Tribolium castaneum: one gene and its partners. The protein of the gene in region 3 purifies or fractionates together with the protein of the main gene of each other region. This does not show direct contact. Links are inferred from orthologs where the notes say so. Each region holds a gene or a part of one and is shown on either strand. Other genes may lie near its edges.

Region 1 (3,584 bases), on a different chromosome or scaffold from region 3:
TCTTTGTCATTCGTTATCAATTTATTATCACCAAAGATTTCGACCAAAATATCGAGCAGCGTTCAAATGCTGTTAATTTTACAGAATATGAGGTATAAAACTTTTCATTTAAATATTTAATTAAGAATACTATTTTTTTCATATTTCGTTCAAATAAGCTTTATCAGGGGCCCGTTTCATAAATTACAAGTGATTTACTTGTCACTTGTAAAAATCAACTTGTAATTTTTATAAAAGACTCCTGGAGGTAACACTCTTATTTAACTTAGGAATTCTAAAGATCTAAAAAGATTTAATCAAGTAATTTTTGCACCTACGTATCTAATACTTATTAGATGATGATCTTTGTTAAATAATTATTAAGATGGGCAATTGCGCGTACCTAGTTACTCATTTTAAAAATATGTGCTTACGAAAATATTTGTAAATTCATGTCATAACCGTTGAAAATCTTACAAAACAATCATTAAATGTTGACGATAGATGTTTTGTACTTGTGGTGTAATTTAAAATCGGATGAAAAATGTATGACAATTTTTTTCAAGGTCCGATTGATTATTGACTCATTTATCCAATTAGTTATATAAACTTCGTATTATATTATATAATACAATATTATATTGTATTATATACTTCGTATCTATTCTTTTAATTATTCTGTCATTTAAAAACGTCACCCTGATTTCTAACTCTTCCTTTTAATTTGCAATTATTTAAATTTAGTTTAGAACCAAATTTATTTGTACAAGTTTTTCTTTTTCTACAAAGCTTGGTTATTTTTTTTAATCCAGGAAATTAAAAAAAATACTATTAGAAAATGAGGGATAATTGCAATGTCCGTTTAAACTTAGAATAGGTTTGCTGTTTTTCCCTTTTTTTAACAAATCCAGCACAATAAAACATATCCATGTTAGAGGGATTATAGCCAATAAAAGATAAATTAAGGCAACGGGAATGTTTTATTCAACATTTATAAATACTGTCTCACAGTAACTTTCAAGAACAATAGATTTTTAAATCGGTTTAAAGTATCTACAAAATCATAAGAAAACTCACACACGCACATCTTCATTTACATAAATAAATTATTAAATACCGTCATTTTTTCTGTTCTTAACAAAACAATAGACTCCATACACACTTCTGACAAATATTATCACATATATTGAGATGTATAACTGAACTGATGCAACAAAAATGCACGTTTAACCTATTTTCAGTCAGGTAAAGATTATTATTATTATTTTTAATCCGACATAACGCCTTTATTACTTAATGGTGGAAGATGACGTCGAACTCGAACTATTGTTTATTTGCGATAAAATCCTACACTTCTGAGTACAAGGTGGTTGGTAACAAACAGCACTAGTATGACCTGATCGACCCGAGGTCAACGGTTCCCCATCCTCCCATACGTCTCTCAAAGGATCATAAATTTCTACGTTCGCTAAAAAATCCTGACCATTATATCCACCTGAAAGTTATTAAAAATTAGTCTACAAAACTAAAAAGGAGGCGAAACACAAAAAATTTAGTGAGCTGAATTCAAGAGCAATTTGCATAAAAAAAAAACAGGAATACTGAACCTTCTATTCTCCAAAAGAGAAGAAAAAATAACAAATACAGCTGTGAAAATATGAAATAAAAAGTTGTAGTGTCATTTTATAGAAGAAGCGTTATTAATTTAATCCGCAATTAAATGTCTGATTTACTGAGCACGTGACCAAATTGAACAAATTTGATTGGTCTATTTGCGTTGTTAACATTTAACAACGAATTAAAATTTAATGAAGCTTTCTATAAATCGGCCAGTAGAGAATTAACTTTATTTACTTAGAATTTACTTTATGAACAAACTAAAATAAAATAAATGAAAGAGACAGTCATAAAAGAAAAAAAAACACGAAACTTATGACAAAAGTTCTAAAGTTCCTAAATCATCAAAATCATCGAATGAATTTTGGGTTTTGACCAGTAATTATTGTGTAAATCCATTTCACATAAGAAATATTTTTTATTTTGCGAAAAAATTTGTAATTGGATTAGAAAAATCGAATTCGAATTTTTGTTATATCGCGACACATCAAACTTCAACGCCGGTCGTAACGTTCAAAACAAACTTTTTTTTAATCTCCCAAACCAATCTTGATTGTCCTACAACATTAATTACATGTTGCACATTTTTTTTCTTTTACGACAAATTAATATACTGGAATAATTCTTTGGACCATAGGTACGTAAAACTTTCCAATAAATCGATTAGTGTTTATAAAGCCTAGTTTAAAGGATATTAAAGTATTAAAAAACTGTATTTTTATCGCAAACACTGAACGTAATCAACGTTCAAAATTTAGGAAACCGGTTTGTAAAAAAATGTTATAAATATAAATTTTTGTTGATTTGGGTAAAGTTCCAAACACAATTAACAGCAATGTTTCAGAACATGCATAAGTAAGACCTTCTAAAAAATGTGTTGAGGAGAAACCCAAAAAATTCTTCGGCAACGATTTTTCAGTAGCTATCAATGTCGTGCCTATTTATACCAAAAGTCCATTCAAAATTTAAAAAAAAGAGAAAAATCGAATCAAATGAGTTTTATTGTACTCTTAGCGATCAAAGAGTCTTTAAAAGTGACATAAAATATTCGTTTAGTAACTTAACTAAAATAACGAAATGTAGTACGAATGATTTGTTTCACCTCTTAATACTTTTTTTGAATCTACCGTAGTTGTTGAAACACTCACCCATTGCGTATATTTTGCAATCTAGGACCGTTACACTTAGGGCACTTCTTGCAATCTTCATACTAGCAACAAATTCCCAAGTATCTTTCTCCGTATCATATCTTTCCACTGTATTCAGTTGCTTCGAGCCGTCATATCCACCAACTACGTATATGTACTGATTAATTGCGGCAACTCCAGCGCCGCTCCGTTGCGTATGCATGGGGGCTATCATAGTCCACGAGTTATTTTCGGGGTGGTAACACTCTGCACTATTGTGTCTTTGGGTACCGTCATAACCACCTATTGCATATAGCAGTCGGTTGACAACAGCGACACCAACCGCTAGACGTTTGAAATGCATAGGTTTTATCGTCGTCCACCTATCCAAATCAGGATCGTAGCTGAAAAATAAACAGCAACTTAGACTTAACTTTAGACGGGTACTTGTTTTGTAAGAAACAAGGTAAACTCTCAAGTCGTCTCGATAATTTTTTTCAATTTAGAAAAACATTTAATTAAAAATATTGATAAGGATAATATAGATAAGAATTGACGGTTATAGCAAAAAAGATGCAGTTTCTAATTATAATTATTTGGAAGTATGCAAAACAATGCAACAATTAAAATGTTATCCGAGGAAATAGTTTGCAAATTATTTGGAATATTATAACGCGTTTATTGATTATCAACGATTATAAGTTTTTTTTAATTTGGTTTTATTATTAATCTGTTGCTGATGTTGTCAGATTTGAATTAATGTCAAATGTACTAGTTTGGTGGTAAATGTTTTAAACACCATAAAATACAATATGACGATTTTTTCAAAAAGTATAAAGCTTGTGAAAAAAGGCTCAAACA
Region 2 (4,362 bases), on a different chromosome or scaffold from region 3:
GATTTGACATGACATTTAATGAATTGTTCAACAATTTTGCGTGTATAGTGTTAATTACTTACAATAGAAAGAATTACTTTAAAAGTACGTGGTGGAAAAAACTAGCGTTGACTTTGGTTCTGTAGTTTTTCGTGGTATAAAGTGTTTATTGTTGGAACTTGAAAGTGGATAAAAAGTGAAAAATATTTAAATTTTGATTACAAAGTGTTATCAAACAGTTGTCTAATTAAAGATTATAAGTAATGGATCACAGCGAACACAAAGTTTGGCTCAAGAAACCAATAAATTAGTGAAGTGTTATGAATTTTAGGTTAGAATTTTCCACTGAAAAAATCATGAAATGCTGCGGTAAATCTACAAAACTACAATAAAGATTAACAACTGCTGATACATTTAAACGTAAATTATGCCAAAAGGTAGGCTTTTCAATGTCTTTGTAATAATTTTCCAATAAAGAAAGTGGACCAAACAGTCATTTGTTATTCGTGTTTTCCTCGTCATCTCTCATTTGTCAACATAAGTTTCTTGCATCAAAGATGCAATAATCATTCCGCATAGGCAATGTAATAATTGTGAAGCCCCAAAATTCGTATAACGCTCAAAATATCCGAATAAACATTTTCCCGCCATTTATGGTTACTGTTTTCGACCTAGCTCAGTGGCGCCCCCAACGGTAATTTTACTTCCGAATTTTACAAACATGCCGCAAAAACACAGCTATAATGTAAAAAAAAAGAAAAAGTCAATATCTTTAATAATACACAAGTTATGGACCTTTTTAGCCACTTACCAACGACTCCTGTCGCAGTTGGCTGTAAATATTGGCGATTTTGTCCTGGTCCATGTTTTGCAGCTTCGGATGGACATTTTCGCGTGCATAGACCAAGTATTTGCGTAGCATTTCCTGCGGGATGGTTAGGTCGTTGTCACTGTCCTCAATTTCCAAAGTTTGGCCCTTTTTGGACGGGTGGTGACGTATGTGCGAGTTGACGACGAATTTCGCCAAGTGTTGGTCTTGGATTGGGTCAATTTCGTCTCTCACCACGCACATTATGTCAAAACGGGATAAAATCGGGTCGGAAAGGTTCACATTTTCGGCAAAAGTCATACTAGCGTCATAACGGCCTCCGATTGGATTCGCAGCCGCTATGACCGAACAGCGGGCCTGGAGACTTGTTACAATGCCGGCTTTTGAGATGGAAATTGATTGTTGTTCCATTGCTTCGTGGATTGAGGTCCGGTCTTGGTCGTTCATCTGATTTAATTCAATTTATAATCTTACCAATTATTTATTAAAACTGCCAGTTTTTTTTCATTACTCCAAATAATAATTACAAATTTATTATTTTTCAAATTTTGAAATTTTGAAATGTTTAGGCCACTATATTAATATTTAAAAAACCAAAAAAAAACAATCATCTCTTTGAAGAGCCATAAGATTACAATATTGTGTAATATTATTTTCCATTTAGTTTTTATAACATTTCTTTTCTGTTAGCCTTTTTTGTGTTTATTAGAGTGAATATTATTTAGGTTCGCTAAAATTGCGTAAGTATGCAAAATTTCAGTTCGTTCGGATAACTGGAACCTTCTTAAAATATATTTGCAAAATATTAAACAGACAACAAACAAGTGAAATAAAAGCTACTAATAAAAAAAAAACAAAAATTTTAATACTGTTTTCTCAACAGGAAGGTAACAAATAAATTTAAAAAAAGGAATAGAAAAACTTTTTTTCGGGAAATATTTAAATTTTCTTTAAAATTATCTAAGTAACCCCAGTGACGAGGAACTACTTTCTTTTTTTTAACAATTTTAAAAATTTTGATAACTCTTATTTTTTTTTTCAAACAACAAACTAAAAATGTTACATAACAATTCAAAAAAAAAAACTTTAAAAAAGTGGTTAATGCAAATTATACTACCAATTCTAGAAATTCTAGAAAAAAAAAGTAGTCAATCTTTCAGTGACATTGACCTGTGAACACATTTCTTTATGTACAGGGTGCTCTATTTTAAATGTCCGAATAGGGAATCTCCGAAACTAAGAGGTCTAGAGAAAAACGAGTGATACATTCTTGGGTCCGTTTTTTGAGAAAATAATTTTGGTCAAAACCGCATCTCGCTATCGTCTTTTGTTTTCGACTTATAAACAAAAGTTGACATTTTAGCGAAATCTTAAAAAATTCATATCTTTCTCATTATAAAAGATACACATTTGAAACAAAGACATTATCCAGGCACTTTTTTTCAGAGAATCTAATAATGTTATCAGCGATTTTTTTCAACCATTCGTTTAACTGTAATAACATAAAGTTGTATTTTTTTAAATAGGAATCATAGTTGGCTATGATATTCTCGAAAAGCTTATTTTTTTCTGATTTGATATGTCTATTTGTGTAATACATAATTTTAAATATTTAAGAAAAAAAAAAACATTTCGCTTTTTCTTTATAGTAGGCCATGAAAAATTTTTGGATTTTTAATTAAAACTATGAAAATTGTATTACCCAACAAGTATTTATAATTTAATGATTTTTTAAACCCTAATTAATTCAAAAACAGCATAATAAATTTTTATTAGATCAAATTTTTGCAATTAATAAAAATTTTTTCTTTTTATATTTAAAATGGCAAGCTCACGTTGTCATTCTATTTTCCAATTTTAAACAAGAAATGTCGGAAGGAGAAAAATCTTATTAATTGTATGATTGCGTATCAATAAAATTTTATTTTACAAAAAAATGTCAATCCAAACACCAAAATCAAATTCCATCTGCGGTAAAAAAATACACAACATTATCAACGTCACCTCCATTGCACTAAATCATAAAAAAGTGGCATCAGGTGGTAGTGAGACATCGTTTGCAATTTTCTGCACATTTTTATGTAATTAAAATCTGCGACGCTCGTATATTTGTTCAATTGAAAATAACTTTAACTTATTTTTATAATTTCACATTTTTACTTTAATAATCATTCACAAAATTTCTAGATTATTCACACCTTTTATGCGAAATAATTTTTCCATGGCCAACTACTTTCAAATATTTTAAATACATTTTTATCAAAAATATATAAAAATATCAAACTATATTTATATTGTTTTGAGCTCAAAAAAAAATAAGCTTTTCGAAACTGTCATAGCCAACTATGATTCTCATTTAAAAAAATACAACTTTATGTTATTACAGCTAAACGAATGATTAAAAAAAACGCTGATAACATAGCTTATTTTTATAATTTCACATTTTTTACTTTAATAACCGTTCACAAAATTTCTAGATTATCACACCTTTTATGCGAAATAGTTTTTCCATGGCCAACTACTTTCAAATATTTTAAATATATTTTTTATCAAAAATATATAAAAATATCAAACTATATTTACATTGTTTTGAGTTCAGAAAAAATAAGCTTTTCGAAAATATCATAGCCAACTATGATTCTCATTTGAAAAAATACAACTTTTTGTTATTACAACTAAACGAATGATTAAAAAAAATATTTTTAATTGTTTACTGAAAGGAAAAACGGAATAAACAAACATCCAATTGTTTTTGGCGCAATAAAAAATGCACAGCAAAAATACAACAAAATTTGTAAATTTTTTTTCATTAAAAAAATTCAACGCCAATGGTGAAAAAAAAATTGTTACCTTGTCAAACTCATCGATGAGACAAACCCCCTGATCGGCGAGCACCAGCGCCCCCGCCTCCAGGGTCCACTCCCTGGTGGCGGGATTGCGCCTCACATACGCCGTCAGCCCCACGGCACTAGCCCCCTGCCCCGTGGCAAAAACAGCCCTTGGTGCAATTTTCTCCACATATTTCAAAAACTGTGATTTCGCCGTTCCGGGATCCCCACAAATCAGGACATTAATATCGCCTCTGATTTTGTGCTTCTGGCCCGGATTTTTGGGCTCTCCCCCGAACAGGGCCAGCGCCAGCGCCCGCTTGATGTAATCGTGTCCGTAAATCGAGGGCGCAATTGAGGCAATAATCCGGTCGGCGATTCGGTGATCTTTGCTCATTTTGCGAATTGCGTTGACGTCGTCGTCCGTCAGCGACTGGACGATCTGTTTGCAGTCTTTGACCACCAGGTGGTTGGCGAAAATCACGGTGGAAAAGACCGGAAAGCCGTTGTCGATGTTTAAGGCGCCGTCGTAGTTGTTTGAGTAAATTCCGGTGACGTCGACTTCGTCTCCGGGCTTGCAGAGGTCGCACAGGTCGGCCAGGAGGATGCAGTCTTTGGAGCGGGGCACGCGCCCGGCGGGGATGTGCCCCGGGCACTCTTGGAGCGTGATTTTTTGGTAGTTGCGGTAAAGTGTTTGTTCCATGTTGATCTAATTTTTTATCAAAT
Region 3 (4,789 bases):
GAATGAATACGTTGAAAAACACAAATTCCAAGGTAAATATCGGATACAAATCTACTATTTTCACAACAAAAGATTCAGCGAAACTGGTGGTATTATCAGAAAAAAAATCTTAGCCATTCTGAAATACATTTGATACTCGATTTGAGATAACAGTTAAAATATACTTTAAGTAAACTTATTATGGCTAGATGAGCCCATAAAATAGTTTAATACAAAGGAAAATCCCTCACGAAATTCTCTGAGGAAATAACACCCCACTTGACTAATTTTGCAGATCATAAAATTTCTCCGGATTATCCACCAATTGCCGGATACACGGGACACATCCCACGTGTGAAAGGGAACGAAGAATCGCTGTCTCAGCGTTACAATACAGTCGTAAAAAGAGGACTAACACTGTTACAGAAGGAAAGAGAAAGGATACAAAGTTTGAAGAAGGCGCAAAACCAAGTCGTTGGAGTTTTGCAAGACTTTGAAAATCTTCACAAAAGAGTAGAAACTTCGTAATGTTGCTTGTGGCAACGTTATTGAAGGGAGAATAGAAGCTTTAGTGTTTCATTGTTGTGAAATATCACAAAGCGCAAATGTATATGCAGTCAAACCTCTGTAATCCGAATTAACTTTGCACTGTGTTCTTCGGATTAAAGAGGTTGTACTGTAATCGTATTTTGTTTGGTTGTTTATTGAAACAATGTTTAAAAAGTGACAATTTATTATCAGAAAATAGAAAATAAAAACCACATCTTTTAAATTATTTCTCGGAACTGCGATTCTTTATTCTTTCTTTTCGGGCTTCTTCCAAGGCACACGCTTTCTTCCAACATTCCTCATCCAAGGTGTTTCTTCCTTGTGAGATGCAAACAAGTCTCGCCAAAACAAGGAGACTGTGAAGATCGTCTCCTGTGATGTTACCAGCTTGTCTCATTTCAACAAACTTATTTTGGACCATCTACAATTTTTTTTTCCTGATAATTGACACCAAAAAATGCAATTTACCTCAAGCACACCGTCTGATAAGTCATATTGGGTCAACCGGGCGTTAGTTAGATAAAGTCGAATATCATTTAGCAGCTCAGGTTTGAGGAAATGTTTTGCCGCTTCCAGAATCTCGCTGAAAGTCTTTAAATGCATTTCTTCTGGTTTGAGAATTACATGAACATCGCTCTAGAAAAATTTTTTTCAAAACTGTTTAACAAAGTGATAAGTACAAACCGGCAGCATTGATTTGCCTTCAGAAAACACAAGAAACGGAATATCACAATCATACTCGAGCTGATAGTACGTGAAATCGTACATGATTTTTTGGTTCTTGATGGTGTTTGAAAGAGCGCGAACTCCGGTAACTCCGCCCTCGTTTAATTTTCCCGGAGTTAGTTTCGTCTCGTCCAACACCAAATGAGTATTATCACTTAATTGCAAAACACTACTTGTTAAACGATCCGAACTGTAGTCTTTTCTTCAAAAACAAGCCAAGAAGAATCATTTTACACAAACTGAAATAACGGTGCTACGGAACTTACTTTGGAACAAAATTGAGCTCATTCATATTCTCGAGCAACATCGGCAAATAATGACTTTTGGTAGTGAGGGTCTCTACAAACTTGTAAATTTCCTGGACATAATCAATGTTTTCAAGCATTGGGACGTTGGAAATGTTTAAGGAAAATTTTCCAAGTGCCATTAAATCTTTCCGCAAGTAGCTAAAAGTCTACACGTGAAAAATAGCAGAATCAAATGTGCGAATTCCCTTACACTTTAGAAATGAAGTGGTAAATTAAATACTCGGCTGCCAATTCATCTCCACACATTAATTGTGTTAATAGAATCAAAAGTTCTTTTCTAATGATCTGCATTTTATCAGCGCTCATTTTTTCGTGCGTAACTAATGGATTATTGTGAGTCAATGATTTGAACGACACACAATGAATTCTAGGAATTAAACACGGAGGAGGATTGTGAATTTGAGACTCCAGACCGTTCATATCATCATCAATGTTAGCCCCTAAAAGCGGATTGAGGGACAAAAAGCCCACAAATTCACAAATTGAGTTCAATTTAATCTTGTCCATGTCTTTGTATACTTTTAAGTGGCATACTTTGCCAGACGGATTGGGGATTGGGAAATTTAAAAGGTACTCTTGGGAAACAACAGGTGTTGTTTCTGCAGGTTGTGCTGACTGATTACATGGGCGCTTGTTAGAGTTTGATGGTTCAGTTGCACTAGCGACTTCCATTTCTTCAACGGGTCGTTTTAAGTGCACTGAAGTTGAAGAGCTTGTAGACGGTAGTTTGTACCTGTCCTCCTCAAGCTAATTTTTTTATTACACAACCCCTCAATTAAAACAATACTCACTTTATGAACCCATGGATTAATACCAGGGATTGAAATTGCAACGTAAACATGCCGCTCACTTGGAGTGGTTGAGGGACATTCCTCAATGGTTTCATTAGACTGTCAACACATACTCAGCCCCCGAATAGCTTTCAAAAAATTACTCTTACCTTACAGTCTGCACCATCAACGTATTTGCCGTATTTAATAGTACTTTCTGCAGTTTCAGTGTTTGTAACAGTGAATTTTTCCAAGTAGAGTTCGGGACCGTGCATATCCTGTATCATGCCCTGGAAGCGAACCAGTTGCCAGTCTTGGAAATTGTGCAGCTCGTTTGCATTCAACAGTGGAATCTAACAATGTACAAAGTGTTCAAAAATTGTAAAAGTGTAACTTTCTAACCTGATTCCAGATTTGTTCGTTTTGAAGTAATTCCGAATATTTCGTTTCGTTTAGGTACCATTGGTCGGGCCTACAGTTTAATAAGTCCATTTTTGCACTCGTTATTATTATTTTTAAAGAAAAAGGAACACCCGAAAATAACCTCGAAAAAGGGTTACACTTTTTGGCGCCAAATTATATGTCAATCTTTGCGTTGCAACTTGCAATTTCCCTAATCCCAAACAACTTTAAAAAATATTAAAGACACTTGAGGAAGGAATAATTATACAATAGATATGCTCTAGTTCTAAAACTGACGGCAAAAGTAGGTACTTTGGTACCTGTCCGCGTATTTTTAATGTTTGAGATGTATGGCAAATGAATAATATGGATCAATGGATATTGCTAAACATAACATAACCTAGTAAAAATTTTGGACTTGAAAAATTTGTTTCTAAAAACATAATATTATTCAATAAGTTTCGAACCGGAATTATGAGTAAAAACAAAGACGTGGAGTTAAAAAACTTTTTTATTTTCAATTCTCTATATGGCCCCAAGGAAGGGGAGGTGCGTACGCCCCTTTTAGAACACAATCACAATGTCTTTTCCAGGAACTGAAAAAAATTCTTTATTATTATCCAATATCTGACAATGCCGATGTACAAATAAAGAATGTGGGGTTAGTTGAGGGGATCATTCAATTCACTGGGTAAAGTGTTTGAGATAAGGGGCAAAAAACTGTAAGATTTCTTGTAGCACATTTAAACCAAGCACTCCAGTGAATTCACTACATACGCAAAAAATGCGTCAATTGTATTTCCAACCAGAAAAAAATATGTGGATTGTTTTGGTATTTACACATCTTTAATCAATACTTTTAAGCACTAAATATTATAGACGTTAACTTTACCAACCGAAGTTAAGGGGAAGGACAGTTCAACTCAAATCGAATATCTCGAGGATGATGTACAAGACAATGTTTACGAAGCCGTCTTAAAACAAGCCTATTACACGTATAGACTTTTCTGGGGCACTTTTGAACACACGATTGAGAACCACGATGTGGGCACACTTAAAACAAGACTTGAAAGTTTCTATAAAGCTGTAAGTTAACAAGATTATTTAAGAAATTTTAATTTATACTTCACAGTATCTGAAAACCTTAAAACTAGGGCATGCTGATATTCTGAACGTGTTCCACGGAATTCAGTATCTGCCTCTTGACAAACTAACTTTTTTAAAAGTCCAATGTTTTATCAATTCACTTGAATGCGAGTATCCCGAAATTGCGTACACAGCGTTCTTATACAACGATCATCTCATATGGTAATTAATTCAAATAACTTAAAACTTGTTTTATAAGTAATAACTAATTCAAAGGAGCGGTTTTGAACCCAAAGACATGAAAATTGTGTACCAATATTTAATTGGCACTTTACTGCCCGCCAACATGGAGGCTGAACTTCAAGGGGGCTCAATGCCCCGTAATTCTGTTTCACCTTTTGCTGCATTACATCACGGTCGTTTCATTACGGGACCTACAAATTTAAAAACAGCCAAAAATGTGGGGAAAATACCCAAAGTTTATTTATTTGCCTCAGGGAAGGCCGAGTCCTACAACTTGGTGGTTTATAGGGCGCTAAGTGCGTCCGTTTGTTTATTTATGAGAGGTTTGTTTCGTTTGTTTGGTTTTATTAAATTAATTGTTAATTATAGCCGACAAGGAGTTAAGTTTGCAATATTTCAAAGACATGGACGAGTTCATTAGCCCCAAATTGACTGCAATCGTGTCAGATATTTCCGAATATTGTTCCAAACAAGTGATTACGCCATCAAATGTCCCCGAAAACGCTCCAAGGTTTATCTATTTCAATAAATTGAATTTGGCTTACAAAAGCACAGCGCATTTGGATAATAAACAAACGGGAAACATTGCATGTACCAAAGAATCTTTAAAAATAATGGCTGATTTGAACAATAAGAGATCACTGTTGGGCCACTCTAGCGAGACGATAGTCAAAACAATGAATGACTATTGGGTTGTTGCGAAAAACTCGAATTCTAGAGAATTTT

What was found. Proteins that work in one complex are often made in the same cells at the same time.
Region 1: the proteins of mini-chromosome maintenance complex-binding protein (region 3) and Keap1 purify together in Homo sapiens (affinity purification with mass spectrometry; 3 studies listed by BioGRID and IntAct, with this or other methods). This does not show direct contact. The link is inferred for Tribolium castaneum from reciprocal best matches to the Homo sapiens genes MCMBP and KEAP1.
Region 2: the proteins of mini-chromosome maintenance complex-binding protein (region 3) and Mcm2 purify together in Homo sapiens (co-immunoprecipitation; 6 studies listed by BioGRID and IntAct, with this or other methods). This does not show direct contact. The link is inferred for Tribolium castaneum from reciprocal best matches to the Homo sapiens genes MCMBP and MCM2.

The regions. Positions count from the first base shown.
Region 1 is NC_087395.1:20,702,342-20,705,925, reverse strand, and holds the end of Keap1 (kelch-like ECH-associated protein 1B), read right to left. Parts: intron 3,128-3,584; coding exon 2,745-3,127; intron 1,475-2,744; coding exon 1,269-1,474; 3' UTR 941-1,268; downstream 1-940. UniProt on the Homo sapiens protein: Substrate-specific adapter of a BCR (BTB-CUL3-RBX1) E3 ubiquitin ligase complex that regulates the response to oxidative stress by targeting NFE2L2/NRF2 for ubiquitination.
Region 2 is NC_087400.1:2,398,375-2,402,736, forward strand, and holds part of Mcm2 (DNA replication licensing factor Mcm2), read right to left. Parts: intron 4,346-4,362; coding exon 3,659-4,345; intron 1,256-3,658; coding exon 791-1,255; intron 1-790. UniProt on the Homo sapiens protein: Acts as a component of the MCM2-7 complex (MCM complex) which is the replicative helicase essential for 'once per cell cycle' DNA replication initiation and elongation in eukaryotic cells.
Region 3 is NC_087394.1:35,480,743-35,485,531, reverse strand, and holds mini-chromosome maintenance complex-binding protein, read right to left. Parts: upstream 3,033-4,789; 5' UTR 2,825-3,032; coding exon 2,735-2,824; intron 2,686-2,734; coding exon 2,503-2,685; intron 2,453-2,502; coding exon 2,354-2,452; intron 2,310-2,353; coding exon 1,753-2,309; intron 1,701-1,752; coding exon 1,521-1,700; intron 1,457-1,520; coding exon 1,213-1,456; intron 1,165-1,212; coding exon 997-1,164; intron 950-996; coding exon 752-949; 3' UTR 695-751; downstream 1-694. Other genes in the region: ciliary microtubule inner protein 2B, read left to right, coding at 1-32, 275-507; vacuolar fusion protein CCZ1 homolog, read left to right, coding at 3,209-3,283, 3,328-3,425, 3,473-3,566, 3,614-3,820, 3,867-4,042, 4,097-4,386, 4,433-4,789. UniProt on the Homo sapiens protein: Associated component of the MCM complex that acts as a regulator of DNA replication.